Drosophila melanogaster: one gene and its partners. Changing the gene in region 2 together with the main gene of any one other region gives a genetic interaction. Each region holds a gene or a part of one and is shown on either strand. Other genes may lie near its edges.

Region 1 (9,108 bases), on a different chromosome or scaffold from region 2:
ATATCCTATATCTAACCTTTGTACGGCAGCCAGAGCAAAACTTGTGCTTCTTCAGGTAGTTCTCCAGTACGTCGTGCAATTCCTTTGTCTCGATGATGGTTAACTCGTTGCGGCAGTTACTCTTCATGGCGGACCACACCTCTCGCCATGTCTCCGAAAAGGGTTTGGCACGAAAGGCGTCCAGCGAATGAAGAACGCAGCGCGTCTTGTTTCGCAGTTTGTTGTCCAGCAGGTTGTTGAGAACCTCATGGTGCCGGTAGAGCAGCGTTCCCAGTGCCTGCGGAGTCTTAAGCTTCTCCTCCACAATGCCCAGGGTGGCAGTGGGTCGCAGTTCCAGCGGATCAAGTGTTCGGTGCCCCGTCTCGGTTAGTTGGTGAAACAACCGCTCTACGCGTCTGCGGCAGCCAACGCACTGGACACATTGATTGAGGACTTCCATAAAACTGGCACTGTCGATCTCCAGCGATTGCCGGCGCTCGGCCTCTGTGAGCAGTTTGAATTTCCGTGAAAACTCCTCCAGTTCACGTCCGCGGATCAGCGGACTGTCGATCACTAGACCTTTGCTGTTCAGGTCCATGAGCATCTGCAGAGAAAGTAGAGAATTTAATCAGGGGAGGTTATGGTACATAAATGGTATTGTGAGTATCTGATCTATTTGATCGAATGCACTAGTTAGCAAAGAACAACTGATATGTTTACATTAGTATTATAAAGAACTTTTATCCAACGCTGTAAGTAAATAAATAATTAGGATCGCGATCCAATGATATTTGCGGTGAAATGACCGACAGTATTAATATAACGTCTAATTGTTTGCATTAAATATAATAATCCGAGAAAACATACAATACATACAAAACAACAGCTGTTCTTTGAAAAAACTAACGGAGCTCTGGACACTGGCATAAATCCACCTTCAAACGTATCGATAACAATAGGGGTCGGGTGTGCAACCGATGTCATTAACTAGAGATTTTGGCCAGAGAATCTGAGCCTGAGAGATCATCACCTCTAGAGATGGTGACGGAGTGCATGCGATGTGCATACAAACAGGTTCGTGTTGTTGCACTTTCCAGCAACATGGCGGCCGTGGCCAGGGAGGCGGAGAAAGAAGAGTTCGGTGGGTGGTGACAGGTGCAGAATCATAATTGCAGCTCAAGTTCAATTAATAAATGCACGATACACACCAATTCAAAGCAAAGAGAAGCGAACTCACACTTCGTCACCATCCGCCACTTACACATAACAATCCGCCGTGTTATGAAAGTTTTTGGACCAAGTGCACGCACACACTCACAGCGGACGTCTCTGTTGTGTGTGCGTCTGTGTACGTGTGTTCTCTGCTGGCAGTCATTTTCTTTGGATAGACGGCCGTACATATAGCGGAAATCGGTGCGGATATATGCTTACCATTAATTTATCGCCAGCCACCAGGGGCAAATTTCTGCGACCAACGTAACCGGAGTCGTCGTCGTCCGTGTTGTAGACCTTTGTGAGTCTGGCCATTATGGGTAATTTGACTTCGCGAGCCAACGACGGGCAAAACGAAAATTCAGGCACTTTGCGACACAGACACACACTTTTCTCTAGAGGTCCGGGTGTGGGAAATGGAGATCAGAATCGACTGGCGTATGGCAGCAGCGTGCGTATTCACAAATAGTGTTTTGACAACAATATCCACTCTCTGCGCAGTTCGAGTGGCTTTGGGAACGCTCTAGAATCGGCTACAAAAGTGTCTTCTATGTCAAACACGTAGTAGGCAGCAAGTCGGTCCGGTCGCCATTAAAACGGAGCAGAGTTGCCAGTAGGGGGTGTTGATAATATATCAATGTATCGAGGTATCCAAGCGATATATTAGTATTTATATCGCGATATTATATCTGCCTAAGATCGTGAACACAATATATTTTTCGAATATTTCATTATATTTTCGGACTTGCATCTTAAAATGTAAACATAAGTTAGTCAGTGGTTTTTCAGTCAAATACCCGCATTAATATTCGTAGCATTCGAATCTCTTAGTCGCATTACTGTCATTCACTTTTCTTAACGGCTATTTTTATTGATTGAAAATTATTTCCAGAAAATATTGTAAGAATAATGTATTCTTTGCTGAATGCTGATAAAGAAAACCTAAAACTGGTGACTGTGTAACTAGCGGAGGCAAAGTACATTTACCGTAAGTAAACTAAAACTAAAAATAAAAAATATGATTTATTTATTCAATAATTTAAAATTAGTTGGATAGGCCTGTCTGGCAGCACACTATCGCTACGCTACTATCGCTACGCTACTATCGCTACCACAAACATATCGAGATCAGAAGAACCAATTTTTGCTGAATGTTTAGTTTTTAAATATTATTAAGAAAAAATAAATAAGAACCTGAGAAAAACAGTGGTGACAACTCTTACAAATCTTTCAAAGAAATAAGATAAGCATGCATAAAACTGACAATTAAATTGTAAGGCCATAAAGATAAATAAAATTGATTCAACTCCTGACTGCTGTTATATATCGATAACATTGCAATCGAAGCACACGCTGGTGTCCGCGTTTCGTCGTGAATTCCTCAAATTCGCGTTGTTCGGAAAGTTACTAGTTATTTGCAACGCGGCGATTTGCAGGTCGTTTTTACCTATTTAGTCTAAGCATTAGTACACCCACCACCGCGCCAATGCCAACACTCTAGAAAACACGAGTAAGTAGAGCTTTGCGTGGGTAATAGCGTCCAACTAATACGCCCACTACGCCTTCATCTGTGTGTGTGTTTGTGTGCGGGCGAAGACATTTTTTGCAGCCAAGCGGAAAAAGAGGCATTGGAAAAAACAGCCGCAACATGGACGTATCCCAGCCGCCACCGCAGCTGCTCACGGCGCCCTCGGCCCTGGCCACCAACTTCACATCGCTGCCCCCGCCGAACATGGGCGGCCAGCACTACCGTCACTACCATCCGCACCATGGGTCCAACAAGCACGGCTACAACCAGTTCAAACCCTTCATGCCCGGCGGCTTCCAGCGACCCTTCGGAATGTCCCAGGACGACTTCGACGGCAAGCGACTGCGAAAAAGTGTGATGCGGAAGACAGTTGACTACAACGCGTCCATCATCAAGGCACTGGAGGTGATTCCATAGGTCATTTAGAATGGAAGTAGATTGACTGCGAAGTTTTGATTTGTAGTCGCAGAGAATTGTATTGTTATTATTATTATAAGATCAATTCACCCCCATTAAAAAAGTTCATTTCAAAAACCATTACTAGAGCTACACATTTAAAAGGCCAATCGCTATAACATTTTGTAGGTTAATACGCGGTAAGCCCGTTACCTGGGCTACCATTTTTAATTAGTTTCGGACCTTGTTATGTCGATATCCCATTTTAAAATTTCAAAAATATATTTTTGTTTTCGCAGAACCGATTGTACCAGCGGGACTATCGGGACCGTTTGGCTTTGCAGCCGGACAGCATTTATGTGCCCCATATGCTGCCGCCCTCTGCCTACTTGGACAATCCTTCGAACGCGGTGACCACAAGGTTCGTGAAGACGGCTACCAATAAGATGCGATGTCCGATTTTCACACTGGCCTGGACGCCAGAGGGCAGACGTTTGGTAACCGGGGCCAGTTCCGGCGAGTTTACGCTATGGAACGGACTAACCTTTAATTTCGAGACCATTCTGCAGGTGGGTTTCCGTCAGCAGATCCCGTGGGATCACGTCTAATCTTATGTTGCCCAACAGGCCCACGACATTTCTGTGCGGACGATGGTGTGGTCGCACAACGACAGCTGGATGGTGACCGGCGACCATGGCGGCTATGTTAAGTACTGGCAGTCCAACATGAACAACGTGAAGATGTACCAGGCGCACAAGGAGGCGATTAGGGGAATAAGGTATATAGTTGTAATTGTCGAATGTATTTACCATTTTGTAGCCGATGACACCAGCCGACCAAGGCAAAACCAAAGCCAGATTCGCGTTGCTCACATAATTCCTTTAGTTTGGGTCGCTTGGGCAGTCATGGGTATTTATTGTTGCCTAATCAACTTAGTGGATCGGTTCCCTTTAGGGCTGTTGCGAATACATATCAATAAAGCCGTCAATATAGCAACATGCCAACATATAGCTTCGCCTTATTGGCTACATAAGTTTTAACCTCGCCTCCACTAGAACAAAAAGACTCAAATATGTTGTAAGCACCGAACTCTTCTGTGATATATCAATAAAAAATGAAAAATAAAAAGACAAAGTGAAATGATGCAAATGCAATATTGAGAAAAGCTAACAATAAAACCATCTGACTGAGAACAAATGAAACCTTTGCACAATTTTCTTTCCGCGGCCACAAAATCAACAATAAATAAAATGCATTGTGTTGCACTGATTGTTCGAAAAATCGGGGGTTTGAGTGTTTTCTTTCTCAAGACTGCCGAATAATCCTGGCCCAAGGACAATCGATCAAGAAAATCGGCATTATATTTATATAAATTATTTAGAGCTGTGCTGGTAACAATTTACTTTTTTTGAAGAAAATCTTTTGGTAACTTTTAATACGCTCAATTATTTTACATTCACTGTAATTTAAGAGGATTTATTTATTCGATATCTGTAAGTCAAAAATAAATTTTTAAAGCATATTTAAACATTTTATTTTGCAACAGGCCGGTAAAAGATTTTATATTATATTGTTTCGTGTCACTTAAAATGAAATGATGATTCTAGATCGATTTTTGGAAGTCAAATGTTTTACGCACTGTAAAGAGTTTATATTGTATTATATTATTGTGAGCTTCGCGTACCTAGTCAAGTAAAACTTGATCCTGAATTTAAAGTTTAATCAATCAATTCATCAAACTAACTCCGCCCACACTCATTATCATCATTTAACCCGTGTTTTGTTACGTTCTAACGTTCTCCAATGCAATCCACCAAACTCAGTTTCAGTCCCACGGACAGCAAGTTCGTCAGCGGCAGCGACGACGGAACCCTGAGGATATGGGACTTCATGCGGTGCCAGGAGGAGCGAGTGCTACGAGGTGAGATTTAGTAGGAGGTAGTCCCAATACAGAGTCTAACCATGTATCTCAAAAAGGCCACGGTGCTGACGTCAAGTGCGTGCACTGGCATCCACAAAAGGGAATGATCGTCAGCGGAAGCAAGGACAACCAGCAACCCATCAAGATTTGGGATCCCAAGAGCGGCATTGCCCTGGCTACTCTGTGAGTATTTCTTTTTGGATGAATCTTTATCATGGATTCTACTGCACATACTCACATTTTTTCAATCATCAATAGACACGCCCACAAATCCACCGTGATGGATCTGAAGTGGAACGACAATGGCAACTGGCTGGTAACCGCATCCAGAGATCATCTGCTCAAGCTCTTCGACATTCGCAACCTGCGTGAGGAGGTTCAGGTCTTCCGTGGCCACAAGAAGGAGGCCAGCTCCGTATCCTGGCATCCCATACACGAAGGCCTCTTCTGCTCCGGCGGCTCCGATGGCTCCATTTTGTTTTGGAATGTTGGGTGGGTCTTAGCATTCTGTTTACACTTTAAAAGATAAGTGGATTAATGACAATCCCCGCTCGCAGTACCGACAAGGAGATCGGCTGTGTGGAGACGGCACACGACAGCATCGTTTGGACTCTGGCCTGGCACCCACTGGGTCACATTCTGTGCTCCGGCTCCAATGATCATACGATCAAATTCTGGACGAGGAACAGACCGGGAGACCTGATGAGAGACAAATACAATCTGAACACATTGCCCGCCAGCCTGGCTGCTCTGGATGAGTGTGAATACGGTCTGTTATCCCTTTTTTTGACCTACAAAACCAATGCTTTTATATACCCTTTTCTCCCAACAGATGATGCAATTATACCCGGAATGGGACCCGAGGACCGGGTGGAGTTTACTGAAAGTTTAACTGCCGACAAAGGCTTTATTCCTGGCTTGGATTTGGATCCAAGCAAAGCAATAAATGACCGCGACCGGGAGAAAAAGGTTCCCTACAGCAAGCCCATTCCCCGCAATTTCCAGGTGAACTGGGCAGGACCCCGGCGAGCGGACGATCCCAGCGTGCTCAGCATTCACGAGGAGCTGGCCGCCCGAGAGGCCAAGGACACCACCAATGGACTGAACCACCAGCAAATCAGCGAGAACACAATGGAGGGCATCCTGGCCAGCGGCATGCTCAACGGCCTCGATCCACAGACCATTGTCGGCGTTCTCGTGTACAACCGGTTCATTCGCGTTCACCCGGACTCTCGACTGATGGCTGCTATTCGTCAGGGAGCCGAGTTTCTCAACAAGTACATCGACGCTGGCAAGCTGGAGGAGCTCAACGATGTAGTCCCAGTGAGGGATAGGTCCAGATCTGTATCACCCACAGTGGAGGCACGTGGGGAGATGGTCTCCCCGCCCACCAAGAAGTCCCGCTTCGAACCACGTCAGCATAACGCCCAGTTGGTGTGCGTTCGAGAACTAATGCAATGTAAAAAGCCCTTTCTGCAGTCACTGGTCGCGGCGAAAGCACAGCAACCCAACACGGAGTTTGTGGATGAACCGCCGCTGGAGCAAAGGGATCGGGATCGCGAACGAGAAGGAGATCGCGACAGGGAGCGGGAGCGCGCTCGCGAACGGGAGAGAGACCAATCCGGTGGCAGGCCCAATCCCTGGGCTTCCAATGCACCCTGGTCGAACAATGGCAATCCTGGTGGCAATGGCAATGGATCCAATGGCTTTAGCAACAATGGCGCGGAAAGTTTCAACGACCGGGATCGCGGTGGCGGTGGCCAACGTCGCCGGCGTGGCATCAACAACTCCGGTCCTGGCAACGGCGGTGGAAGTGGTGGAGGAGGTGGCGGGGGCAGTGGCCGAAATCGCGGTCGCAACAACAACAGACGTTACTAATCGCTATCCCACCAACACTGTTTTCTGCCAATCTCCTTTGCATCTTTTGCTTTGTAATGCTGAAATCAATTTATATTATGAAAAGAAAAGAAAAGAAATTCGGTTTGTAATATATTATACGTGTTGTGTGTAATTTTCCGACTTTTTTTAAGAGTTTTTTACAATGGAGTCTCTGGAATAGGAATTTTACTTACATGGATATTTGTTTCTCTAGGAATAATCAAGATTTAACATTTTATTCTGGTTTTCGAACCATTTAGGTTGAAGATGAAAGTTAGCATTTTAGGTACTGTATTGGCAGTTCTTTTAATTAATTCCGATAATTACAATTTGATGTTTTAGTAAATGATGAGATACTTTGCACAAATTCGCTAACTTAATTTTAATAAAACTGAAAATACACAAGACAAGTGTAGTTGGAGAACAACTTTGATTTACTTTATTAATGGAACTCCTACTAACAACGAAACTAGTGAATACGTTTCAGACAGCAAGTGAGTTGCGACGACTGCTGCGGCTACTGATGCTGCCACGTCTTTCGCTGGCTTCGCCTTGCGGTTCGGCGTCCATGTGGTTGCTGCTGTGGCTGTTGGTACGTGGGTGTCTGAACTTCTCCTTGATCTCACGCTCCTCCTCGCGCATTCGATCCTTGGTGTGCTGGTCGATGGTGCGCTGTATTTTCTCGGCAGAAGCCACCAGCTTGTCGGCCTCCAGGATGACTTCTTTCGGCGTATGGCTGCGGCTTCTGCTGTTACTGCGACTGCTACGATGTCGGCCCCGGTGATCCCGGCGGGAGCTAGATTGCCTGCGGGAGTGCGAGCGTGATCGCGACCGGGAATAGCTGCTGGAACGAGATCGGCGCGTAGACGCCAGCTTTCGATTCTTGCGCTGTGACGGCGTTTTGCTGCGGCTGCGGGAGGATCTGCTGTGGCTGCGCCTGAAAGCAATTGAATATTCGGGAACATTAATAGTAAAAATTAAAAAAAAGGTAAGCGAAGGAACTGGGAAGGTCCTTTATTTTAAATTTACCTGGATCTCGATGAGTAAGATGACTTTCGGTAGTGGGAGCGACTTCGTGACTTCGAGCGCCTGGAACGACAAACAATTCTATATTTTTAATAGTAATCTATAGAGATTATAAGCATCACGCATTAATTACCGGCGTCCCCGGGAGCGGCTTCGACTCCTTGAATACGACGATGAGGAACGCGACCTATTTCTGAAAATCACAAAGTGTAAAAAAAAAAACATTTGACTTAAGTGTAACACAAACTTTATGCTGGATTCGTACCTCCCCCGCGAAGACCGGTGGTAGTAGCCATTCTCGTTCTCGTCGTCGTAGCGATCGTGCTTCGTGTTGTAATACGTGTCATATCCGGAACGACTCCCTCTTATGCCGATGCCACGACCTCTTCCACGACCGCGAGGTCTCGGAGCAAAGCCACGATAATTGCTTGAGACTGGGAACGGTGCAGGTGGCCGATAAAGCGCTCCGGTAAAAACTCCCGGCAGGCCGTATCCGAACATCGAAAGCGACTGCATCCATTCGCTGGCAACCTTAGCACTGTAACCTCCTGGTCCCGGAACCGCGCCAGCGGCCATTGCGGCCACCGCATTCAAAGGGTTCAGAGCAGAGTTGACATCGCCTGGTGGCGCAGATTCTGTTACGCCGTTTCCCATTTTGTGTCGCTTACTGGCCGCCGCTTCGTCTTCGCTGCTGGCGTCTACGGGCACAGCGCTCTTCTTGCTTTTGCTCTTCAGAAGGCCCAAAAGAGGAGTATTGCTTTTTATTTCCTGTACGATTTTGCGCTGATCACAAACAAGTTTCTCAGTGGCAGCCTTGTACTTTTCGACCAGACGACCACGTTGGATGTCCTTGTCATCATCTTGTTTGACTCGCCGGTTTTTGTCCCTTTGTTTTAGCTGTATTAAAGAATAAAATATAAAAAAGTATTATTATCACTGCTGTACTTTTAAAAAGAAAACGAATTTTTCGATATTTCATTTAACTTTTCATTTAAAATACAACATTGACTTTTAGGTTTTAACTTTTGCCCACCTGTATCCGCTCAAATAGTTTTTCCAGAGTCCGTATGCTCTCCAGCTTGCGCTGCGCTATCATCAGCTTGCGCTCCTCGATGCGAATCTTTTGCGAGATCTCCACTTGGCCGCGCTCCTGGATCTTTTTCATGTG
Region 2 (5,744 bases):
TCCAGAGCCTGTAGTTCCCAAAAATTACGAAGCCCAAATTTCTGGAAGCAGGTTTGGAAAAATCTCAACCGTTTGGATTTTCCGCGCCAGCGTTTCAGACGCTCCAAGGCCTTGTAGGCACCAACTATGAACCCTCTGACTCTCTGTTCAGCTTTCATAGTATCCATTGAGAGATCAGGCATGTCCATCACATCCTTCATCGTGCCATCCGAGTTGTAGTATGCCAAGCACTGGACACGCAGCTGTTCTCTACGCATCAGCAATCCCTGAACAGTTGGGTCCGTAACGCCAATAGGAGAATGGCATTGGGCACTGGCTCGCTCGGCAGGAACATCCTTATGAATCTTCTTTGGCGGCTTTGGCGGCGGAATCTTCGATTTATATTTTGATTCGATTGTGTTTTTCAAACGTTCGGCCATTTCCTCAAAGCAATCCCTCAGATTTTTCACAGCACTTGATCGGCGGTTGACCTGATCTATGACATTGGTGATCTTGATGAGTTTCTCTTGGGATAAGGAACTGGAGGAATGGGTTCTTCCGCTGTCAGGTGCATCCCGATTGAATGTGGAGCTCGATGGATGCTGCTTATTTCTCGAGAGCTCATACTCCAATAGTTCGACTCTCTTCTTCACAGTGTGACTATCAGCACCATTTGGGGACTCGAAGCCAGTCCTTGGATAAACTTGGCTATCCTTCGAGTCAGAGGATCGCGTATTTGTTTTTCGTATTATTGTCACAATGCTGGCAAAACTACTGGTCGTAGGATCATTTTCCGATTGTTCGGAAACCTCCTTGATGGGTTCCAGTTTCCTGGGTCGTAAAATTTGAGTCGAGCACTTCTTGAGCAGTGTAGGTGATTTGCCAGTAGCTAACTTCTTACATGGCTGGCCTCTGTACTCATCCAAAATTACGTTCAGATTCCTACTGTAGTTACGCACATCCGTGAACGGTTCCTTGAGCACTCCAAAGTCCTTCAAGTGGCCATGCATGAGCAGCATCAGGCTATTTCGGGCCAACTTCTCGCTGAGAGGAGCCTTCTCGAATATCTTTATCCATCTGGCCATGATGGGGCGATCCGACTGCTTAGCCCTTGCCTGATCGGCATACTTGTAACTGGCTAGCTGCTGCCTGAAATGGCGATCCAGTAACTCCTCGCTTAGATCCTTCATGGCCACATTCGCATATTCAACCGGAATCAACTGATTTTGTTCCCAAAAAATATTTGTAATTTTAATGATTTGAATAAAATGAAACCGCTTACTCAAATCGGGTAAGGAAATGCGGAAATATAAGTGGGACTAGTGGCCTTACTCGGCGACTGTCACCAAACGTCTCTCAACCGCAGAAAGGGGAGGGGGGTCAAAAGTGGAGCTCAGGGTTTCTCAGAGATGCTTCAAGTGGTGGGCCCACGTCTGGCAACAAGCACAAGGAGCAGCGACACTACACTTTAAACAAAGAATATCAGAGCTTACTTTTCAAAGAACTTAATGGATTTTCTTGTCGAAACACTCTTACCTGGTGCGTCTCTACACTACGTGGACTAAACTGGACTTCACAGTGATAGCTTTTGCATTTACCACTTCATTTAAGAAAACTGTTGTGTATTAATCTAACAACATGTTACCTCCCACAAATAGTTTAATGTCAGTAATTTGCTTATGGCCATTTCGAAACAATGAATTATTAGTGTAACAGCAGTAGCAACAAAACAGTATGCGGTTGCCACGTAAATTTTCATTAGCGCAGCGCGCGTATAAATTAGGAAAATGAAGCAGCAGCAGCGGCAGCAGGCACTTGAGTGCACCGCAACCTCCATCAAGATGCCCCCTGGTGGGGTGAGTGGGTGGTGGAGTGGGTGGCGGATGGGCGGCTTAACCGCAGCAACAACAACAGCGAATGCGATGCGAACCTACATACATACATACATAGGTGCTGCGGCTTGTGGCGAACTGTGAGCAAAAGTTGCAAACGACCGACTGCCTGCATAAATTTATATTGTTAAACATGAGCTAGAAAAAAGCACGCGCAGCCTGTCAAAAGAAAGCAAAAATAAAGAGCAAAGAAATTGCCTGACATGCAAAAAGCGGTTTGGAAAAAGAGTAAAGTAAATGCATAAAGTACATAGCAAAAATAGAATACCTTCGTATAGAGCTGAGTTCGCAGCAATGCCAAAAAAAGACCTCTTACGCAAAAATATAATATGAAAACACTCTCTATTTTACACAAATGTTAAACATTCAAACAAGTTCATAAACAATAATAAGTTTATGCCCCTCCGTTACTTTACCTAAGTGTTAAGTATAAAGAATTTTACCAACTTCATTGACTATCTGGCAACGTCGCGAGCGTTGTATGTTTTAAAGCTTATTTGGTCACACTAAATCATTGGCATCTTAGCTTTTTTTTTTTTTTTTGATGCACGCGTGTATGCTGTGTATTTTTTTTTTTTTGCTATTTTTAAAATGGATTTCGAGAGCAAATACTGCACCAGTCAAGTAAATGGCACTATTACCATAACTACGCGCAAAGTCCTTGATGAAAATCTAAAATCCTTACTGGATGAGGGAAAGGGCGAGGTGAGTGTCTAGTGAAGCATCTAGTCTCAAAAGTTTACGGAGACACTAATACGTTTTTGCTTCTAGCTGTTTCTCTCGTGTATACCGAGGAATCACAGTTGTTCTCCGCGGTGGATTGTGGAAGTGGCCAGCGAACTGGGTGAAGTTTACATTATGCGCTATAAGATTGATTTTTCGGGAAATTCTCGCGGCTACGCCTACTTGCAATATATCAATGTGGACCTCAAGGAATCGGCAATGCAATAGTACGTACTTCGTAATAATTTTCACATAAAACAGCACTAACCCTAATAATCCCAGTCTGCCAATGCGATTCCGACAGCTTTGCATGTGCTTAAGGGTGGAGCCATCGACCAACAATCGCGAGCTGGTGCTCAAAAACGTAGAATCGTCGCTTAGACCATGGCAAGTGTACCAGGAGATGTTGAAGATACATCCCTTTACCATCGTTCGAGTCTACGAGTATCAATTAGACCAGTTCTTCTATATATTTGAGTACCGCAACAACGACTCGGCCGCAAGTGCCCATCAGAGAGTAAGGAATTCGATCAGAAAATTCGGTGAGCATGCGCACATCTCCTGGTTGACTGCGGAGAACATCTTGAGCAGAGCCAGCGGTAGCTTCTGTTTTCAACGGGAAGTAAGCCAAAATCGTACTCGACGCGTTCCTCCCAGACAAAAGGGCTGTTTCAAGTTTTAAATGGAAGTGGTATCAAGTATGTTACTTTATTGGTTCATGCTACCAAATCCATAAGGCTCCAAATGTTTTGTTTGTACTACACGTAAGTAGGACGAAAATGTATAAAATACTTTAATACTTTAGTTATATTTTTTCTATTGTTAAATAAGTTTATAAGTAAAATAAGAGTACTCTTAAATAAGTCAACCATTTAGATATGAATGAAGATGTTTATTGCTTGATTTGTGTAAGTTTTTGTAATACGTGGAATTTGAAAACAAGAATATGTGTTTTGCAAAGTTAATCTCTGATTTTTTAATGAAATTTTAAAGCCAAATATCAAATCACTTTTAGAATGCATACTATACCTTAAAAAAAAACTAACCAAGCGGATTTTGGAATTCCTGTGGCTCTCTGGGCAGTAAATTATGTTGCTGCCCATGCGAATGTAACATAAACTTTCACCAGTTGTTAGGACAGGGGGAAATTATACACAGCATTGTTCCTGGCAAATCCTTTTGGCCCGCCGCTTCTCACTCTGATGAAATGCAGCCGCAGCTTGTTGACTTCATTAACTCTGGGCAAAAACAGCGAGCAGCCATAAAAATAAAAAAAAATAAAAAAAACAACACCGACAGCGCAGCGAAGCTGCAGTTTTTCACATGCAAATTAATGCAGTGTCTTTGGAGTGGCGGAGTGGCAGCCAGGACTTTCAGGGCAATGCGACAACCTGCGGCATAATGCAATTAAATGAGTGCAGCGAGCAGGAGTCGACGCTAGCCTCCGGCTGGCATTGTGTTGGACACGGTGTCTGGGTACCGGGTCTGACTCCAGATTACGGGTCTCCAAAGTGCAATGATCGACGGACGGGAGTGGAGGGAGCGCAAGACATCCGTCAGGCGAAGGATGCACAGGACGCGAGGTGCGAGGGACAGGTCCGCTGCGCATTCTAATGCGATTGCCGCACTTGACGGGATGTCGTGGCAGGCGGAAACGGATGTTGTTGTCCTGCTCAGCTCTGCACGGTTGCAATTAAATTAGAGCCTCAAATCGAAATGCAGCCGTAACATGATGATGCAAAAATAAGAAGCGACTGGCATATTCTGGAAGCCTCATAAATATTCATTGAATTAAGCTTAAGTCGAGACATCCTCTCGGGGCATTCAGGGAAAAACAAGCCGAGCTGAATGTTTTCCAAAATCATTTGCATTAATTTGTTAATTCAAGCGCGACAGCCACGCCCCTGTTCACTCGCTTAAAGCCCATTAAAATTTCAAAGCCATGCGAGGGATTGTACGAGTCTTAACCCATTGGCAATCCCCGGCGCAAAGCACTCCTCCGCTCGCCGTCGAAGGGTTAAAGTCATGAAGCCGCATCTGTGACGCAATTACAAAGGCTCGAAGTTTGCTTCTAATTTTGCTCTACTTGCCATCATAAAGTCATCCGTTTTTCAACTTACAGATGGGAGCCAAACAATAGTTTCCTTTACTTTTTATATCCTTAAAATTCGCGAAACCAATGAAAAAACAAAGTTAAGTTAAAATACGTTTTATTTTATCGGAATAGTGAAGATCTTGGTAACCATAAGAATTGTACTTTACATGCTTGAAAAACAGAGATATAAAATATATATATTACATGATAGTCTTATTGTGGTGCCCCTGCTTTCCTGGTCACCACTGTGGTGTGACCCATTTTCGAGTCTGCGATGGAGGGCAACTCAGCCAGAGCTTACCTGGTTATTGCGGCAAGTGCCAATATTTGCCTTTCGATGCGAGCGGCAAAGAATATAAGGGGGACGTATAGTGTTGTCGAAGGAGCGGTACTGGGGCCCAAAAGTCAAGTGGGGGAGTAGGAGCAAGTGGGAGTGCCTGCCAACTGACACAGTTTGTTTAGGCTTTAAAGCGGTCGGTCCTTGGATTTGGGTCACAGATTGCCTGGGACAAAGGAGGCAAAGGAATGGGATTGGGGGGGTTCTGTCGCCGGAAAGCGAAAGTTATGCACATATTGAGTTCAAGCTTTAAGGGGAATGTGCCTGTACCCAATTTCTTGCCGCTTTCAGCTTTTTGAGTGCAGTTTTAGTTCCGTTCCTGGCCCTTTTCCATTTTCGTGCATTTCTCTAACCGCATCTGCAGCAAAGAGCATGACAGATGTGCATGATATAGCGATGTGGCGGAGGAGAACGTAGGAGGAGTTTGTGGCACTGGATACGGACGCGGATGTGGTAAGGTTGAGGATGTGGATGAGGGGTGGGGAGGGGATGGGAGGAGCCGCCAAACCTCTAGCACTTAACTCGAATTTTTGGATGATTTTTTAAGCAACTTGTCGTTGGCTTGGAAATGCCATTACCGACATGCATCATGAATATGGATGATTCTGCTTGTTTTTTCTGGGCCCCATCATCATTTCCATTCTCCGGTGGCTTTGGTTTAACCAGATGGAGTACGAAGCATGATTGGCGGATGGAAAGAATTCAATATGAGCTTTTG
Region 3 (8,834 bases), on a different chromosome or scaffold from region 2:
TGTGGAGAGCATTAATGGAACTCTGAGGATTTCCTGGGGCCTCGTGCCCGAGGACGATATGAGGCACTTAACCATATCAAGGCTCTCGAAGATACAGCACGTGGACTTCCCACTGGGAATCATTCCACTTTACAACAAGACGGACAAGCAGCATGTGTACATGGAGATTTCCAGCTGGTTCCTGATGTTGCCCATGGAGACATCCGTTCCGCGAGCTCATCTCTTCGTCAAGCTGGGCCTAGAGAGACTGCTACCCATCATAGTTGTTGTGGGTGCTGTGCTCGGCAATGCTCATCGGATCGAAGTGGGCCTGGGGCCCAGCTGGCGTTGCTACTACCTGGCGGATAAGGTGCTGCGAGGAGCCTTGGCACAACCCATTGTGCTTCCGAGAAGGCTCTCCCCCAAGCTGATGCTTATTTATTCGCTGCTCCTGCTAAGTGGATTCTTTCTGAGCAACTACTACATGGCCAGCCTGACGACGTGGCTCGTACATCCGCCGGCGAGTGATCGAATCCTGGAGTGGGATCAATTACGCTACCTGCATCTAAAAGTCCTTACCATCCCCGAAGAGTTCAAGTACATGTCATTGATATTGGGCACAGATTTTATGACAGCCTACGGCAGTATATTTCAGCTCACGAACTCGACGGATTTCCAGAGAAGGCGCATCTCAATGGATCCCTCCTACGCCTACCCAGTGACCACCAGCCTTTGGCCCTTTCTAGAGCTGTCCCAAGTGAGGCTACGGCGACCCCTATTCCGACGATCCTACGACATGGTGCTCCAGCCTTTTCAAGTTATGTCTTTGCCGCTGCCACGGAACTCAATTTTCCACAAGTCCCTTCTCCGCTATGCTGCTCTAACTCGCGAGACCGGACTGTACTATTACTGGTTCCGGCGCAGCTACTACGAACTGGTGGCTCTCGGGAAGATCTCGTACAAGGAGGAGGAGGGTAACCCGTACTGCGATCTCAAGTGGAACGACTTTCGTATCGTGTGGCTGGCCTTCCTGGGAGGAACTATCATTAGTTGTCTGGCGCTCCTATTGGAGGTAGCTCACTACAGGTGGCACTTGGGGAACTCCTCACTCTAAACGGATTATTCGTATCTCCCCAACCAGACTACCAATAAAGGCCACATTACCACGAATGAATGCTAAACGTTCTCTCATTTGCACGGGTTAATGGTTACAGATTTAGTCTTGCCCGTGATTGGAAATTTATTACCAACTCCCAACTACCAACTAGTTTCGGCCCTATAAATGCAGCCCAGCCAGAACTTTTGCAGAAATATGCCGAAGTCGTTGCTTCTAAGATGCGGTTCCATTTAAATATAGCAAACAGTGGTTTGCTTGGGCTTCACTTGTGCCCAACAAGAAGTGCTTTACCTGAACAAAATCCTTGTTTCTCTAAGGCTGGAGCTGTCATTTGAAACCTTACTCTTCCTTGGAGGCGCTGGAGGGAACGATGTCTGCTGGGAGCACTTCGACCTTGAACGCTACCCACACCTGAACTTCAATGCTAATCAAAGTATCTACCTTAAAGGAAGAGTCAGCAGGAAAATGCTAGCTCTGGTTTGCCTGGATTCTGCTGAGGAGACAAACTGAACTACACCGTGGATCCCGCGCCATCGCCCTACCACGATCGCCCTATCACGACCTGTACTACGTTTGGATTGCCTACTTGGGAGGCACCATGATCGGCATAGGGATGCTAGCTGTGGAGATCGCTTGCTTCAAGTGGGATCTATTGAGACGACCACCCATTTAAATGTACTAAGGATAAATCAAATCAAGTTTATAATTAAGAACTCGACGGGTCGCAATTTCAAACACTTTTTGCAAAAGCATTTTTTTATTCAAGTTTCACATGTCTCTGCTCACTGCATCTTGATTTTCATCGTTAAATGTTTTCCGTTTCTTGTTCTTTTTCATTTTTCATTTTTCATTATTCATTTTCGATTGTTTTTAGGTTTGTTAATAAGTAGGTATTCGTAATATGTTATAATTAGGATTTCGCTTCAATGGAATTACATATATAATGCATATATTATACGCCATCCGTGTCGCTATTATCTGTGCTCCTTGTGGGTTCGCTAGTCATTAAAATCGGACTTCGAGGGGCACAAACGCCCCAGTCCAAGCAAAGGTTCAAATAAACTAGGATCTTGTGAGTAGATTCGAATGCAGGTGTCGTGTGTGGTGTGGCATGGTGGTGTCTCATTAGCAAACGTGCACAATTGATTAAACTTGGTGTGGAGTGTGGGATTCAAAATGGGACTCGAAATGGGACTATCAATTAATTTTGTGAGACTGAACAAACATTTCTTGTACTCTAAAAATTTAGCACTATAAAAGGGTTATCCTTGGGTGTTTCTTTCCTTAGTTTCTCGTTTATTTTGTTTTTAGGTAAATTCTGCAAAAGCAATTACCAAAGATGAAGTTCGATTACAATTATAATTCGTAATAATAATAATAAGAAGTATGTTGCATTTGCTTGGCAAAGGAAAATAAATTTCATTTCTTTCTCTTTTGTTTTGTACATTCGTGTAAATATTATTCAATTGCGTAATTTCTCCTGCTTGTCTTGTAAATTCATATTGCATATGTTCTGTGTGAGTTACACTGTGGAGGCCTAATCCTACTTTGTCCTGGAAACTAGAGTCGTAACATCGCCAGCTCCCCGGGGAGCGGGCAACCTAAGCTCAAAATGAAGTGTAATGGAAATAAATATGGTCAAATGAGGGTTCGTTAATTATGCCATCCTAAATATTGCCATCGTTATAACTATTTTATGTCGTTTAATTTTCCTCTTTTGTGTGTGGTACTGTTTAACTATACATTGTGTATATGTCTAGACGCAAAACTTGAATCTTACAAATTTCGAGTGAGTTTAGCGTTGTAGGGTATCTTAATAATTTCCTCTTACTTTTCACTTTGCTCTCGTTTTCTGTTCTCGGAAACACTTTAAAAATTAAGCTCAATAATCTTAAATTATGCATGTATTTGCTTTCATTTCAAACTTGTACACACGCCTGCCTACATACAGCGTGCTTTGAATTATTTCGATTTTGCGATTTCTTTCGTGCCTTGTATCCATAATAATATTCTAAAAGATTTAAACATTGCACTGTGTACACTTCTTCTTGGATTGGTTACATTCAATTAGTTTTTCACTTTCATCTTGTTCACGTTACATTACGGTCGTTACTGTCTTGCTGTCCTGTTTTGTGGTTTCACTTTAGTTTCTGCTACTTGAAACAATGTACAATTAATTACAAAAATGTCTTGTAATCGCTAAAATTTTAATACTCATGTACTGTCCGCAGGATAGGCGCTGGGCCCCTGCTAATTCCATATCGGATCTCTCCTCTCCAGCTCTGACCTATTCCTCGTCCGCATCGGCGTCTACTCTATAAATTACGTGTAGGGTTCGCTTTCGCAATGGTTGCACTTGATTTCCTCGTCAAAAGTTTAGTTATAGCGTAGGGAGTTGTGAGTATTATAAACGCTTTCTAACTACAGCGTGTGGAGTTACATTAGATATATGTATATGTTATGTATATACGTGGAGTGGGTGCTTCACTTGTTAATAGGGGTTACATCAATTGTATTTTTTCCGTTTTTCCATTTTGTTTTTTGTTCTTTTTTTGTTTGTTTTCGTTTTGCTTTGTTTCTTGGTTTAGTTTGGTTTTAATACATATATATTAGGTAAGTGTAAATATTCATATGTTGCCCAGGACTGAGCTGGGCGTAGCTCTAGTTGCGATCGCACGATCTAGACTTAATGCCAAGGGGCCAGTGTGAAAGTTGGCCTTGTGTGGGTAAATACATTTCGAAATACGTGTGTGTACGCAATGTGTTCTTTAGGCGAGAAGCTGACAGCAAAGCCCCTGCTCACTAAATTCAACAGTAAAGACAAACATCTAATTCCAAAAAAACGCTAGTGAGTGCTAAGAAATTGTTGTCCTAATGCCTAGAAAATCCTTTCGGTTGAGAGCTCGTTTTCTGCCTCTCCCTCCCTTTGTTTCTGCCCTGTGTTCTTTCTATAAATTTCAACTGTGTTGCAAGACTTTTGCCTACATCTAAGTGTATATGCGAAGGAGCTGCCTCCCGTCCGTCTGCTGCCTGAATGTCCGCCTAGCTGCTCGATACAATTTCTCGTAAATATCTATATAGGTTTATATATGGGTGTGTATTGTATGTGTGTGGGTTCCAAGTCAACTCCTAGCGATGTCCTTGGATCAGCTGCCGCCGCCGAAGCCTTAGTAGTAGAATATCTGGCCGGCCTTCTGCCGCTTGCGCTCCTCCAGCTTGCGATTGATCTCCTGCTGCCGCTCGGCCTTGCTGAGGGCTCTTGCCACGTACAAGAACTTGTTGTCGCCCAGCTGCTTGCCGTGCAGGCCAATTACGGCGGCCAGCGCCGACTGTGGGTTCTCGTAGGCGACGAAACCGAAACGCCGGGAGCGCCCCTCCTCGTCCAGCATGAGCTGCAAGGATCGGAGAAAGCAAATCGATGATATAAACAAATTAGCACAGATGGGCCAGGTGGAGTCCTCATCTTCCCCGCCGTCACAAACTCCTCGTGGCTACATGGGCATGCGCAGCAATGGCGCAAGAGAGGACTTAAGAGAGTGCAAAACTGTGCCACATGGTTGTCGTCCAACCACCCGGCCCCACGAACATCCCCGTAGGGAAGATGAGGTGACCAAACAACGTACCTTGTGACTGGTGATGCGGCCGTAGGGCTCGAACATCTCGCGCAAATGCTGCTCGGTGAACTCCTCGCTGAGGTTCTTCACATACAGATTCTTGAAGTGCGTGGCCTTCTCCTGCTCCCGGTCCCGCCGTGGTATGAACTTGACCACATGCACCTTCTGATTATTGCACAGCATCCCATTCACCTTCTCGATGGCCGCTCGGGCGGCCTCCTCCGAATCGAAATGCACAAACCCATAGCCGCGTGAATTGCCATCCTCGTCTTTGGCCACATTGCAGTTTAGGATGTTTCCGAACACCGAGAACGTGTCGTACACCGCCTTGTTGTCGATGGACCGCTCCAGGTTCTTGATATAGATCTTGCCACTGTCCGGAGAGCTGTTGCCTCCGCTGCCCCCAGTGGAGCCGCTAGCCAGAGCTCCCCCGCCGACTCCCACGCCCACATTGGCCGAGTGCGAGGACGTGGACGTGTGCCCGCTGCCCAGGGAGTTGTGGCCATGCCGTCCGAGAACAGCGGCGGCCGCCAGGTGGTTACTGGCTGCGTGCCCACCGCCGACGTGGCTCAGGTGACCAGCTGCAGCGGCGTGGTGGTGCAGCTGCTGCTGGTGGTGCGCCGCTGCCAGCGTGTGGTGGTTCAGGGCCGGCTGCTGCTGGTGGTAGTTCGCCGGATTGCCGCGGAACGTCATGGAGTTGACGAACATAATGGCTGCTGGCTGTTTGTGGAGCGTGGTGGCGGCTAGTGGAGTGCTGTAGGTGCTGTAGGTGGATTCTGCGTCCTGGTGGCCGTGGCTCTGGATCTGGATACCGCTGTAGATGGGCCCGAGAATCTTGACGGCGTTCTTGTCCTGGTCCTAGTATTTCACTTCACTTCCCGATTTACCTGGGATGTCGGGAATCTGCGTTATGGCCAATCTAGTCGTAATCCAGCGGAATGCCCACTTACCAGGATTTGCACACGGAATATGACCAAGGATTCGCGGAGTTGAAAAAATCGTTTTTCTCTCGCACAGACTCTTTTCAACGCTCTTCGCTCTCTCTTTCTTTACCTCTCTGGCTCTTCCTTTCGCTCTTTTGTACTTTACTTTTTCTGGGGGCTTTCACTTTTGGGCTGATTCTTTGGGGCTCTGCTGGGCTTTCGCGTAACACTTTCCGGTATTGTTTTCGAGTGGCACCTAAACTAGACTCTTCAGCAATTGCAGCAGTGTAAAACCTGGTTTTTGCAGCTTCGGCGATGGCCCTTTATTATTTAATTGTATTTTATGCAAAAACTGTCGCTACTAGTGATTAGTGATGTTAAAAAACATCGATGCATCTGCCATCGATACGTGAGGCCTTCATGTTCTTGGCCATACCATCGATGACTTTCTCGCTCCCGATTGCTTAGCAAGTCCACCCTCCACAGTTAGCGGATAATGGCCATCAAAGCAACGCTTACCAACACTGCACCCCTTGTTTTGGAAATGCAACCACAAAAGCATTGGACACTTGCTTACTTCAAATAAAACACATTTAAACAATTAGATGACGTGATGGACCAGAATGGCGCATCGGGAAGTCATCCGAACAGGCTATCCCAAGGAAGAGGAGCCCATGCGCGCGAACGTGGCGCCACAGTTTCCGCGGCGGCAAATCGGAGTAACATTATCGACGAAATGGCCAAAATATGCGAAGCCGATCGCCAGACTTTCGCCATCGCTCGACGGACTCGGGGTCACGAGCGGCTTGCGGTGGACAACAGCGACTTCGTCGCCGTGGAGGATCTTATTTTGTCCTACGCAGAGCCCACGCCCGAGGACCAGGTCGAGATGATCATGAGCGACTTTTGCTCGTCTCCAACATACGCAGAGGATGAGGATGAGCCCAGCCATGAGTCGGAGCCGTGGTTTCGATTTCGCAACAAAAGGATCAGAACCTACAGCCGGAAGAGGGATCCCAAAAGCCACAAGGCCGTTCAAAACGAGAAGCGTAGAGGTTCCTCAGGCCTCTCCGTGCAGAGGGATCTCAATACTTCGTTCACATCTATGGCTTGTGATTTCGATGCTTCATCACAGAAGATACACGAGGTCCTTTTGAACCTCAGTCAATACTTTTCCGCGACCGCGACAGCTTCCGGTCCGACTCCTGTCCCATCGCAAATAGATCTGCCAACCGAAGCAAGGCAGGATTCTGGTGACGAGTGTTTCAACGCTGAATTGGAGAACTTGAGGGATGACCTGTTGCAGAGCGGATTTACATTTGAGGCCTCTTTCTATGAAAATGAGCATGAGCAGGAAGGTAGGGAGTGGGATCGATATGGCAAGAAACACATTTGTAACTCCTTTTATATGTACGTAGGTCCAGGAACTATGGCAGACACTATTTATGGCGATAGCATGCAATCGGTTCCCACTACGCGCCTCCGATTGGGTAATTCATATGCAATTTATGTTGTTGCGAAGTTCATTAATATAAACCCTTATTTATAGAAAGTGGAAAACGTAATGTTTGGTCTGATGCAGACTCTACATTGAAAAAAGCTGATGTCGAAATTGCTGAAAATAAGAAACTTTTGATGGGCCAAACGCAAGCAAAAAATGTTGACATAGAGGAGAACACAAACTTCATATTAGAAGGCATACCACTAAGTGAATGGCTAACTCCGATGGAACTGCCCGAGATCTCCAAAGATGTAATCAAACATATACCCGATAAAAAGTTAAAGTTGGAGCCAAGTTCCCAGAAAGAACAAAAAAGTAGCAAAGATTCAAATGCATCAAAGGTTAGAGGAGCCTCAAAACAATCTTGTGATATTAACACGAAAAACGAAGGAACTACTATTCTGGATCAGCCTAATGCTGCAGAGCAAGAAAACCTATTGAACGACGGCGAGCTTCTTGAGGAGTTTCTTTTTAATGATTGGCAACCAATGCAGTGCTCTAATGGCCCATCAACCTCCAAAAACGCAATTCAAGGGCCTAAAGAAAACATCAATTCAATAAATCTGGACGACAAGGAGCAACCAGAAAAGCAGACTCCTAATAAAAGTCAGACCATAAGCAGTCATCAACTTAATGGCATTCGAAAGAAGTCCTTCAAATTTATCGAGGTTTCGGAAGAAATGAAAATTAAAGGCGAAGAGTTTGTAGACAAAGTTGTATCCGGCCTATATCACTTTAGTCACAAGTGCAACTTACGTACTGAGGAATACTCCGATAATCATAGTCAAGTAATGGAATCAACACAGTGTGCGGAATTCAAATCAGCCCCAAGCAAGCCCATCGAAATATTGGATGGTAAGGAAACCTACAATGCAATAGCTAAAGTTGACGTTGGAGAAATAAATGGAAAATTCAGTCCTCTCAATAACGATACTATAGCAGAGCCCGAGTTTTGTGGCTTTCGCACAGCCTCAAATAAGGCAATTCCGATTTCTGAGAAGATGAAAATCAAAACTGCAGAGTTTATGGCTGAGTTTCAATCCAAAGAAACAATTCAACAAAATGATTATTTAGTCCATCAGCCAAATGACAAACCGACGTCTGTTGGACTTGATACAGCCTTAAAAAGATCAATAGAGAGTTCAGAGGAAATGCGATCGAAAGCTTCCAAGTTGGTGGTCGTTGATACTACAATGCGGGAACCGCATCAACCCACACTTGACCCAGTTTGCCGTGACTTAAATGAATCACAGTTTTTCGGCTTTAGAACAGCGTCAAACAAAGCCATTGAGATTACCGAGGCGATGGAGAAGAGAGGAGCCATGTTTCTGGCCCAGTCTAAAGCTACAGACCAATTAAACGGGTGGCAGCCAAGCGATTTTCCTGATGTTCTACCCACCTCTCCAAACAATGAGATTCATTCAATAAATGTTGAAAATAATAAGGCTGTGAATACTAAAACCGTATCTGAGACCGAATTCTTCGGCTTTCGTACCGCTTCAAATAAAGGAATTGTGATTTCGGAAAATACGAAAATCAAAGTTGCACAGTTCATGAGTGAATTTCAAGCCGCCGATGCAAGCACTGACTCGAACCAACCAACTGTGATCTCTGAGGAATCGAGAAATATTGATGCCAAGTTCGTAGATGAAGCGGCGGCAGAAGACAGTGCCAACAAGCCAACTTTTTGCAATGTACAA
Region 4 (8,709 bases), on a different chromosome or scaffold from region 2:
GTGCAAACGAGAAGTTTCCACACTTTAAAATGGCATACCAATGGATATTGACAAGACAAATAAGACCAAAGTATCGGCGTGGCAGTTCTATGGGGTTTCCGTTGGAGTGGACGATTCTAATGAAGAATCGCTAACAATATAGGGCTGAAAACGATTCCTTCTACCCGTTAATTTCCTCTTAACGAATATAGTAACAGGTATGAAAATAAAACAACAGACCCTCAGTAATCAAAATAAAATGTATAGTTACATATTAACCACAACTTGAACTTAAGATATAAGTGACTGTGAGCAATAAATAATATACTACAGTCAAAATGGATTGTAGAATTATCAACTGATTACTAGTTCTCCTTCCATTTATATACATATATATATAATATACACATGAATATAATATATTAAATTCTAAGATAATTTACGATATGATTCGGATAAAACCAAATTTAGAACTTAAATATTTAACGGTGCATTTAAATCATATAATTATTCAAATCTTCAGATTTCAATTATTTACTTAAAATAAAATTTAATAATATCAGGTGTCTTATTAAACTAAATCTCTCACTCGATGGATCCGAGAATTAGAATGCAAGGTCTAGTTGACAAGGCAATTGTTATGCGGGTCTTGAATTTATAGCATTTAGAACAAGATAATTGACTTGAAAACTCACCTCGAAAAGCAATGGGTGAAAGAGCAGATCATTGGCGCTGGGTCGGTCCTGCGGCTGCGGGTTGAGACACTTTCGTATCAGGTCGCGCTGCAGATCGTTTTCCAGGCTAAAGATTGTGCGCTGGATGGTCTCCTCGTTGATGGCAGTTGACTCGCTGTTACTGGGCTGGATTTCCAGGGCGGCCATCTCCAGGGCACACATCCCGAAGGCGTAGATGTCGAGGGCGGCGGTCAACTGGTCGGCGGCGCCGTACTCGGGCGCCTGGAAGTAGTGGGCGCCTCGTTCGCGTTCACGCTCCCGCTCTCGGCCGCGCCGGACGCTGTAGTGGACCGCGTCCGGGACCACCGAGCCGATCTTGACCAGGCCGTTGTGCTGGATGAAGATGCTATCACAGGTTAAATTGCCGTGGATGATGGGCGGCGAGCAGGAATGCAAATAGCTGAGTGCGGACAAAATCTGAGTGCACCACCGGCGCCACGACTCCAGCGGTAGCCGCTTGGCGTTGCGCTTGGTGCGCTTGAGGAACTGTTTCAGCGATCCGCTCGACATGTACTCGGTGATAAAGACCACCCTGGGTCGCTCGGCCTGCTGCGTGTCCGTCCAGTAGCGGTGGAACTTGACAATGTTTTGGTGGTCCAGCTGCAGCAGATTGTCGAACACCTGCCGCATCTTCTCCTCCTGCGACTTCAGCTCCTGTAGGCTGGCATATTGCACCTCATTCCACACGACCTCTACGCCCTCCTCGGTGTCCATGGCCAGATGGACGCAGTCAATACCGGGTACGTCACGCTGATCCACCTCCTCGCGTCGCTTCAGCCAGCGTCCACATGGCGACTCCTCCAAAATCTCGCTCTCATCCTCCGAATCGTCCCCGGACTCGCGTGGCGACGAGTCCAGATTGACGCCCTCGCTGCCAGCTACGACGCCGACGCCGACCGCAGCGCTGCTGCCCGCATCAGCTGTTGAGGCACTAACTATGTGCGGCGGGGGCTGCTGCGTCGACTGCGACGGCGGGGTCGCTGCTGGGCAGGATGCACTTACGGGGCCGGCCGCCAAGGAAGGGTGGTGCTGGATGGGTTCATCCGCTACCGTGCTACCGCTGATGCCGGCATTCGCTTGGCTATTTGACATTAGGGTGCGGTCACCGACGCGGCTGCGGCTGTTGAGCAGTGCTGTTCCAGTTCCAGAAGGCCTCGTCGTCTTCGGTTTCCAGTGTTTATTTTCTTTGTTGGACTGCCTACGTTTGCGCTAGCTTTTCGTGGTATCCACTACGGGGTCCGGGCAACGAGCTACATCCGCCGCTGCTCCTCTGCCGCTGCCTCTGCCCCACTCACTGGCGCACACATACACACGCACGCGCCCACACAGCTCATCCACTGCACCCCTCGCCCAGTAAACACTCCGCTGCGACGGCTGGCGGTTGCTGGGACGTTTTTCGGCACCTTCGACGGCGTCTTCTGTTCCAATCCTCGACTGCGTCGCGAACTGCGATCCGTTTGTTGCACTTTCTGGCCTGACACGCTGCCGATTCGTTTATTTAGGCGTTTTTTTCACGCTAAAACACCCAAGAAATGTGAGCAAATCGATGCCTCTGGCTTATCGATAGTCACCCCCGCATATCGCTCGGCCAGCGCAACTGCGGCATGCTCATCGATAATAACGCGTTAAGCTGAGATATGCCAAAAATGGCTTAATTTATGTGATTTATTAATTTTTTATACGGTAACGAGCAAGGAAAATTAGTTTGCAGGCGGTTCATTTGATTATAAGCCAAGTTTTTAGTAAAATATTCTTTTTCTTTTGAACACATTAAGAGCTGGCAAAAAATAGCTAGATGGTCCGGAAATATGCAGAATTACCAACATCATAGAACCGTTTTCGATAGTTTCTCAATGGTACCGATAACACCTTGCCATCCGTGCCGGCAGCTCTTAAAAATATCCGAAGTATCGCAGATTTAGGCAAAATCTGCATCAATTAACCAAACATGGATAGCATAATTGGACGCAGCCAGTTTGTCTCGGAGACGGCCAATCTGTTCACAGACGAGAAGACAGCTACGGCAAGAGCTAAGGTAGAACACAAATCTTAATCAGACAAGACAGTCCGGACTGCTGTATTGTACCATATATTTTCCCATTCAGGTGGTCGATTGGTGCAATGAGCTGGTCATCGCATCGCCTTCGACAAAGTGCGAACTGCTGGCTAAGGTGCAGGAGACTGTGCTTGGATCGTGCGCGGAGCTGGCCGAAGAATTCCTGGAGTCCGTGCTGTCTTTGGCCCACGACTCAAACATGGAGGTTCGCAAGCAGGTAGTCGCCTTCGTAGAGCAAGTTTGGTAAGGATTTCCATCAAAGGATCTAACTTCTTGCTGAAACGATTTATATTTTCCATCCCAGTAAAGTGAAGGTGGAGTTACTGCCCCATGTCATTAACGTCGTGTCTATGCTGCTTAGGGATAACTCGGCTCAGGTAATCAAAAGAGTGATCCAAGCCTGCGGTAGCATCTACAAGAATGGATTGCAGTACTTGTGCAGCCTCATGGAGCCCGGCGACAGTGCGGAGCAGGCGTGGAACATCCTCAGCTTAATCAAGGCGCAAATACTGGACATGATCGACAATGAAAACGACGGCATACGTACAAATGCCATTAAGTTCTTGGAGGGCGTCGTGGTTCTGCAGAGCTTTGCTGACGAGGACAGTCTGAAACGAGATGGAGACTTCTCGCTGGCAGATGTCCCCGATCACTGCACACTATTCCGCCGTGAAAAGTTGCAAGAGGAGGGCAACAATATTTTAGATATCTTGCTTCAGTTCCACGGAACAACGCATATTTCCTCAGTGAACTTGATTGCCTGCACAAGCAGCTTGTGTACAATTGCCAAAATGCGACCCATTTTCATGGGCGCCGTGGTGGAAGCCTTTAAGCAGCTGAATGCCAACCTGCCGCCCACCCTCACTGACTCGCAAGTAAGCTCCGTGCGTAAGAGCCTTAAGATGCAGTTGCAGACATTGCTGAAGAACCGCGGTGCCTTTGAGTTTGCAAGCACTATCCGAGGAATGTTAGTTGATCTGGGGTCCTCCACAAATGAGATCCAGAAGCTTATTCCCAAAATGGACAAACAGGAAATGGCTCGTAGACAAAAACGCATCCTCGAAAATGCTGCGCAAAGTCTTGCAAAGCGTGCGCGCTTGGCCTGTGAGCAGCAGGATCAGCAGCAGCGAGAAATGGAGCTAGACACTGAGGAATTGGAACGACAGAAACAGAAGTCTACTCGAGTTAACGAAAAGTTTCTGGCAGAGCATTTCCGTAATCCTGAAACTGTTGTGACCCTGGTGCTGGAGTTCCTGCCCAGTCTGCCCACTGAGGTGCCACAAAAGTTCCTTCAGGAATATACACCCATTCGCGAAATGTCTATTCAGCAGCAGGTAACCAATATCTCCAGATTTTTTGGCGAACAACTATCTGAAAAGCGCCTAGGCCCAGGTGCCGCAACCTTCAGTCGAGAGCCGCCAATGCGGGTTAAGAAAGTGCAAGCGATTGAATCAACACTAACTGCAATGGAAGTGGACGAGGATGCTGTTCAAAAACTGAGTGAGGAAGAGTTTCAGCGTAAGGAGGAAGCAACCAAGAAGCTGCGCGAGACCATGGAGCGCGCCAAGGGTGAGCAGACTGTTATTGAAAAGATGAAGGAGCGCGCCAAGACGCTGAAGCTGCAGGAGATCACCAAGCCTCTGCCACGCAACTTAAAAGAGAAGTTCCTAACTGATGCAGTGCGTCGCATCCTCAACTCGGAGCGGCAATGCATTAAGGGAGGAGTGTCATCAAAGCGCCGTAAGCTGGTCACCGTGATTGCTGCCACCTTTCCCGATAACGTACGTTACGGCATCATGGAGTTCATCCTGGAGGATATAAAACAGCGTATCGATTTGGCATTTTCCTGGCTCTTTGAGGAGTACTCTCTGCTGCAAGGATTTACAAGGCACACTTATGTTAAGACAGAGAACAGACCCGATCACGCCTACAACGAGTTGCTGAATAAGCTTATCTTCGGCATTGGAGAGCGTTGCGATCACAAGGATAAGATTATTTTGATTCGTCGAGTATATCTAGAAGCACCCATTCTTCCGGAAGTCTCAATTGGACATCTAGTTCAATTAAGCCTGGACGACGAGTTCTCCCAGCACGGCCTGGAGCTAATCAAGGACCTTGCAGTGCTTAGGCCGCCGCGAAAGAATCGTTTCGTTAGAGTGTTGCTCAACTTTTCTGTGCATGAGCGACTGGATCTGCGGGATCTGGCACAGGCCCACCTGGTCAGTCTGTACCATGTACACAAAATACTACCGGCTCGAATAGACGAATTCGCTCTGGAGTGGCTTAAATTTATCGAACAGGAATCTCCGCCGGCAGCTGTTTTCTCGCAGGACTTTGGTCGACCAACCGAGGAGCCTGATTGGCGGGAAGACACTACCAAGGTGTGCTTTGGTTTGGCCTTTACCCTGCTGCCCTATAAACCGGAAGGTAAGTTGTTGCTGTCCCGTATTAAAGAAGAAAAAAACTATTAAATCAATTTCTTAATATTCTCTTCCCCTGATAGTTTACTTACAGCAAATTTGTCAAGTGTTTGTTTCTACATCTGCCGAACTGAAACGCACGATCTTGCGCAGTCTAGATATTCCCATAAAAAAGATGGGTGTAGAAAGCCCGACGTTGCTGCAACTAATCGAGGATTGTCCTAAGGGTATGGAGACCTTAGTGATCCGTATAATTTACATACTGACAGAGCGAGTGCCATCCCCCCATGAAGAATTGGTTCGGCGGGTTCGGGATCTCTACCAGAACAAGGTCAAGGATGTGCGCGTGATGATACCCGTGCTAAGTGGCTTAACCCGATCCGAGCTAATTTCCGTTCTGCCGAAGCTGATTAAACTTAATCCCGCTGTGGTCAAGGAGGTTTTCAATCGATTGCTTGGTATCGGTGCCGAATTCGCGCATCAGACGATGGCCATGACCCCCACTGATATTCTCGTGGCTTTGCACACCATCGATACGAGTGTCTGCGATATTAAAGCCATCGTTAAGGCTACATCCCTATGTTTGGCTGAAAGAGATCTGTACACACAGGAGGTACTTATGGCTGTGCTGCAACAGCTTGTAGAGGTTACTCCGCTGCCTACTCTGATGATGCGCACAACAATTCAGAGTCTAACTCTGTACCCGCGTCTGGCAAACTTTGTAATGAACTTGTTGCAGCGTCTGATAATCAAGCAGGTCTGGCGGCAAAAAGTAATCTGGGAGGGCTTTTTAAAGACCGTGCAGCGCCTGAAACCGCAGTCAATGCCGATCCTGCTGCACCTTCCTCCCGCCCAGCTGGTGGACGCACTGCAGCAGTGCCCCGATTTAAGGCCAGCATTGTCGGAATACGCGGAGAGCATGCAGGATGAACCAATGAATGGTAGTGGTATAACCCAGCAGGTTCTGGACATCATCTCCGGGAAATCAGTTGATGTGTTCGTGACGGTAACTATGCATTTTTTGATTTAGTCTTAAATGAAATAATAGTAACTCAAATACCGAACCAATATCGAAGACGTTCAGCTACTACATACGAGTATCTTCTTTTCAGGACGAAAGCGGCGGTTACATCAGTGCCGAGCATATTAAAAAAGAGGCACCGGATCCATCAGAAATTAGTGTCATTTCCACAGTGCCCGTACTGACGTCTCTAGTACCACTACCAGTTCCTCCCCCCATAGGCAGTGATCTTAACCAGCCCCTGCCGCCTGGCGAGGACTAGTTGCAGTTTAATTGTTTTGTTTGCTCATACACATTTTTAAATTACTTAATAAGATAAGGTCTATAATTTTATAAACTCACTGTTCTAGGCGATAATACATAAAACCAAGGTCTTGACCGCACCCACATACATTATAAAGGAATATAATTTTGTTTGTTAATGATCAAAAGATTGGGAGTATACCCCACGCAAATAACACAAAAATTTCGATTCTGAGTGGCCACGACCATTTACGGATCAGTTCATTGCGAGCACTGTCATCGGCGTAATACAAGTGTTTCAATAATTTCAGTACCTTTAAAATACCTTTGAAAGTACGAAATATTTAATTAGAACATTGTACATAATTACAAACAGATGTTTTTAAAAAGATGTGGAAAAAATTCATTGTACGCTGAGATTACACGGCTTACAGCTCTACTTCGGCTACCATTTTATCGCCAGCTAAGGCAGCAAGAATATTTCTGGCTGTAATCCGGGACATTTCCTTGCGCGTTTCGATGTCAGCGCTGCCAATGTGGGGGAGAATAACCACATTATCCAGTTTCAGAAGAGGATCGTCGATTGGCAATGGCTCCGGCGTCGTTACATCCAGACCAGCTGCTAGAATTCGTTTGGTTTTCAGTGCCTCGTACAGGGCCTTCTGGTCTACAACGCCACCACGCGCCGTGTTGATAAGAATGCAGTTGGGCTTCATCTTCTGAAAGGCAGTGGCATTGAAGATTTCCTTAGTCTCCGGGGTTAGGGCGCAACAGACTACGATTAAGTCCGACTCGCGAAGCATCTCGTCAAAGTCCACGTGCCGGGCATTCACAGCAGCCGCCTCCTTGGGGCGCAGTGATCGTGTTGTGTATGTTATCTCCGTCGGCTTAAATGGCACAATGCGTGCCGCTATCTCTTGGCCGATGCGGCCGAAGCCCAGCAGGCCGACCCGGGAGCCCTTCAGTCCCTGGCCGCACATCCACATGGGGGCCCACGACTTCCAGCCGCCGTTGTAAACCTGCTTGTTGGCCTCGAATAGTCGGCGGTTGGTGGCCAGAAGCAGGGCAAGCGTTAATTCTGCCGTGGCATCCGTTAGGACGTCCGGTGTGAAGCCCACTCGAATTCCACGTTTCCTGCACTCCTCCACGTCGATGTGATCGTAACCCACCGAAATAGTTGCCACGCACTTCAACTGAGGACCGGCAGCATCCAAGACTTCCTTGTCAACCTTGTCCGTTAGAGCGCAGTAAAGGGCATCTTTTCCGGCCACGACGCGGATAAGCTCGGAGCGGGGCACCGGATTGGTCTCATGCCAGGTACTCACTTGGCAGCTGAGCAAAATCGTGCATGTCGAAATTAGTGTCTATGCTAATAACTAAATAGCCGGTTACAACAACAAAAACAAACCTCTTGCGCAGCAGCTCCAGACCGCTGTCATCCACATCCGGCCTGGTTACGTACACCTTGTGTTGGGAGCTCATCCTTCGAATTATGTGTCCCTGAATCAATAAGTTTCTGACTTGTCCGAACGGCAACCGCGGTGGCATTGAGTTCAAAATTTCCAAGCAAGTAGGTAAACAAAGTAACAGGTTCCGTAAGTGTGCCCGAATTTTACATTACACATTAATCCGCTAAAAAAGGAATATCACAGACATCGGGGATCTCGACTTTAGACTACCCTGTACATCGGCTTAAATTTTTAGCTACTTATTACCACTGCCTTTACCGCCATAGTTTAATTTTTTTATTCGTATTTTTATATTTTCATGTTGAATATTAAATATATATAAATAATATTAATACCACACTCAAAAAAAATATTATGAATAAAAGTATATTTACTTTTTAATGATAACGGTATGTCTCTGTCAATATCTTCTGTCAATATCTTTGACGGAAAACATCAGAATTATTATTATTATAACTTACTTTTCTCTCACAAAGAACGAGTAAGACATACGACTACAGCACTACAGGGTATACATCACATTTGACCACAAAACTTTCGAGTCTAAACATTAGATCTTAAATTTTTCGACATTGCTTAGAAGTTTTGCCGGGCGGGCTCGAATATCTTACATGAATGGACCAAGCCTCCTCGTAAAGTTGACCACACGTGCCTTCCTGTTATTCAACGGTCGCCCCCAGAATCGCTGGCTAAAGTCGATGGCCAATAGTATGGTTTGCTCGCGAGGCGTCTCTCCAGAATTGATTGCCCAGCTGGGAAAACCACCTAGGATGCGCACAAACCCGGC

Evidence for each region.
Region 1: of tut (region 2) and Wdr33, changing one enhances a phenotype caused by changing the other (phenotypic enhancement), as found in Drosophila melanogaster (one study listed by BioGRID).
Region 3: of tut (region 2) and CG4612, changing one enhances a phenotype caused by changing the other (phenotypic enhancement), as found in Drosophila melanogaster (one study listed by BioGRID).
Region 4: of tut (region 2) and Sym, changing one enhances a phenotype caused by changing the other (phenotypic enhancement), as found in Drosophila melanogaster (one study listed by BioGRID).

Annotation. Positions count from the first base shown.
Region 1 is NT_033777.3:5,658,125-5,667,232, forward strand, and holds Wdr33 (WD repeat domain 33), read left to right. Parts: upstream 1-2,510; 5' UTR 2,511-2,701; intron 2,702-2,787; exon of another isoform or gene 2,788-2,800; 5' UTR 2,801-2,839; coding exon 2,840-3,124; intron 3,125-3,414; coding exon 3,415-3,684; intron 3,685-3,741; coding exon 3,742-3,893; intron 3,894-4,776; exon of another isoform or gene 4,777-4,938; coding exon 4,939-5,036; exon of another isoform or gene 5,037-5,092; coding exon 5,093-5,219; exon of another isoform or gene 5,220-5,294; coding exon 5,295-5,528; exon of another isoform or gene 5,529-5,593; coding exon 5,594-5,805; exon of another isoform or gene 5,806-5,868; coding exon 5,869-6,914; 3' UTR 6,915-7,045; downstream 7,046-9,108. Other genes in the region: CG2182 (uncharacterized protein), read right to left, coding at 17-583, 1,411-1,506; Xe7, read right to left, coding at 7,398-7,851, 7,944-8,021, 8,074-8,133, 8,206-8,837, 8,974-9,108.
Region 2 is NT_037436.4:8,207,390-8,213,133, reverse strand, and holds tut (tumorous testis), read left to right. Parts: upstream 1-2,390; 5' UTR 2,391-2,462; coding exon 2,463-2,576; intron 2,577-2,642; coding exon 2,643-2,821; intron 2,822-2,876; coding exon 2,877-3,276; 3' UTR 3,277-3,557; downstream 3,558-5,744. Other genes in the region: CG8006 (uncharacterized protein), read right to left, coding at 1-1,169. UniProt on the Drosophila melanogaster protein: RNA binding protein that forms a complex with bam and bgcn, involved in 3'UTR-dependent regulation of a subset of mRNAs. Preferentially binds a long isoform of mei-P26 transcripts.
Region 3 is NT_033778.4:24,520,055-24,528,888, forward strand, and holds CG4612 (uncharacterized protein), read right to left. Parts: upstream 6,036-8,834; 5' UTR 5,661-6,035; intron 5,598-5,660; 5' UTR 5,419-5,597; coding exon 4,720-5,418; intron 4,489-4,719; coding exon 4,264-4,488; 3' UTR 1,820-4,263; downstream 1-1,819. Other genes in the region: Ir60d (ionotropic receptor 60d), read left to right, coding at 1-1,093; Brca2 (BRCA2, DNA repair associated), read left to right, coding at 6,247-6,991, 7,052-7,123, 7,183-8,834.
Region 4 is NT_033777.3:5,736,081-5,744,789, reverse strand, and holds Sym (symplekin), read left to right. Parts: upstream 1-2,313; 5' UTR 2,314-2,661; coding exon 2,662-2,748; intron 2,749-2,818; coding exon 2,819-3,012; intron 3,013-3,073; coding exon 3,074-5,196; intron 5,197-5,272; coding exon 5,273-6,195; intron 6,196-6,301; coding exon 6,302-6,472; 3' UTR 6,473-6,612; downstream 6,613-8,709. Other genes in the region: Madm (MLF1-adaptor molecule), read right to left, coding at 675-1,805; CG1236 (uncharacterized protein), read right to left, coding at 6,882-7,785, 7,862-8,001; CG2100 (uncharacterized protein), read left to right, coding at 8,534-8,709. UniProt on the Drosophila melanogaster protein: Component of a protein complex required for cotranscriptional processing of 3'-ends of polyadenylated and histone pre-mRNA. Involved in germline stem cell transit amplification, differentiation and mitosis-to-meiosis transition.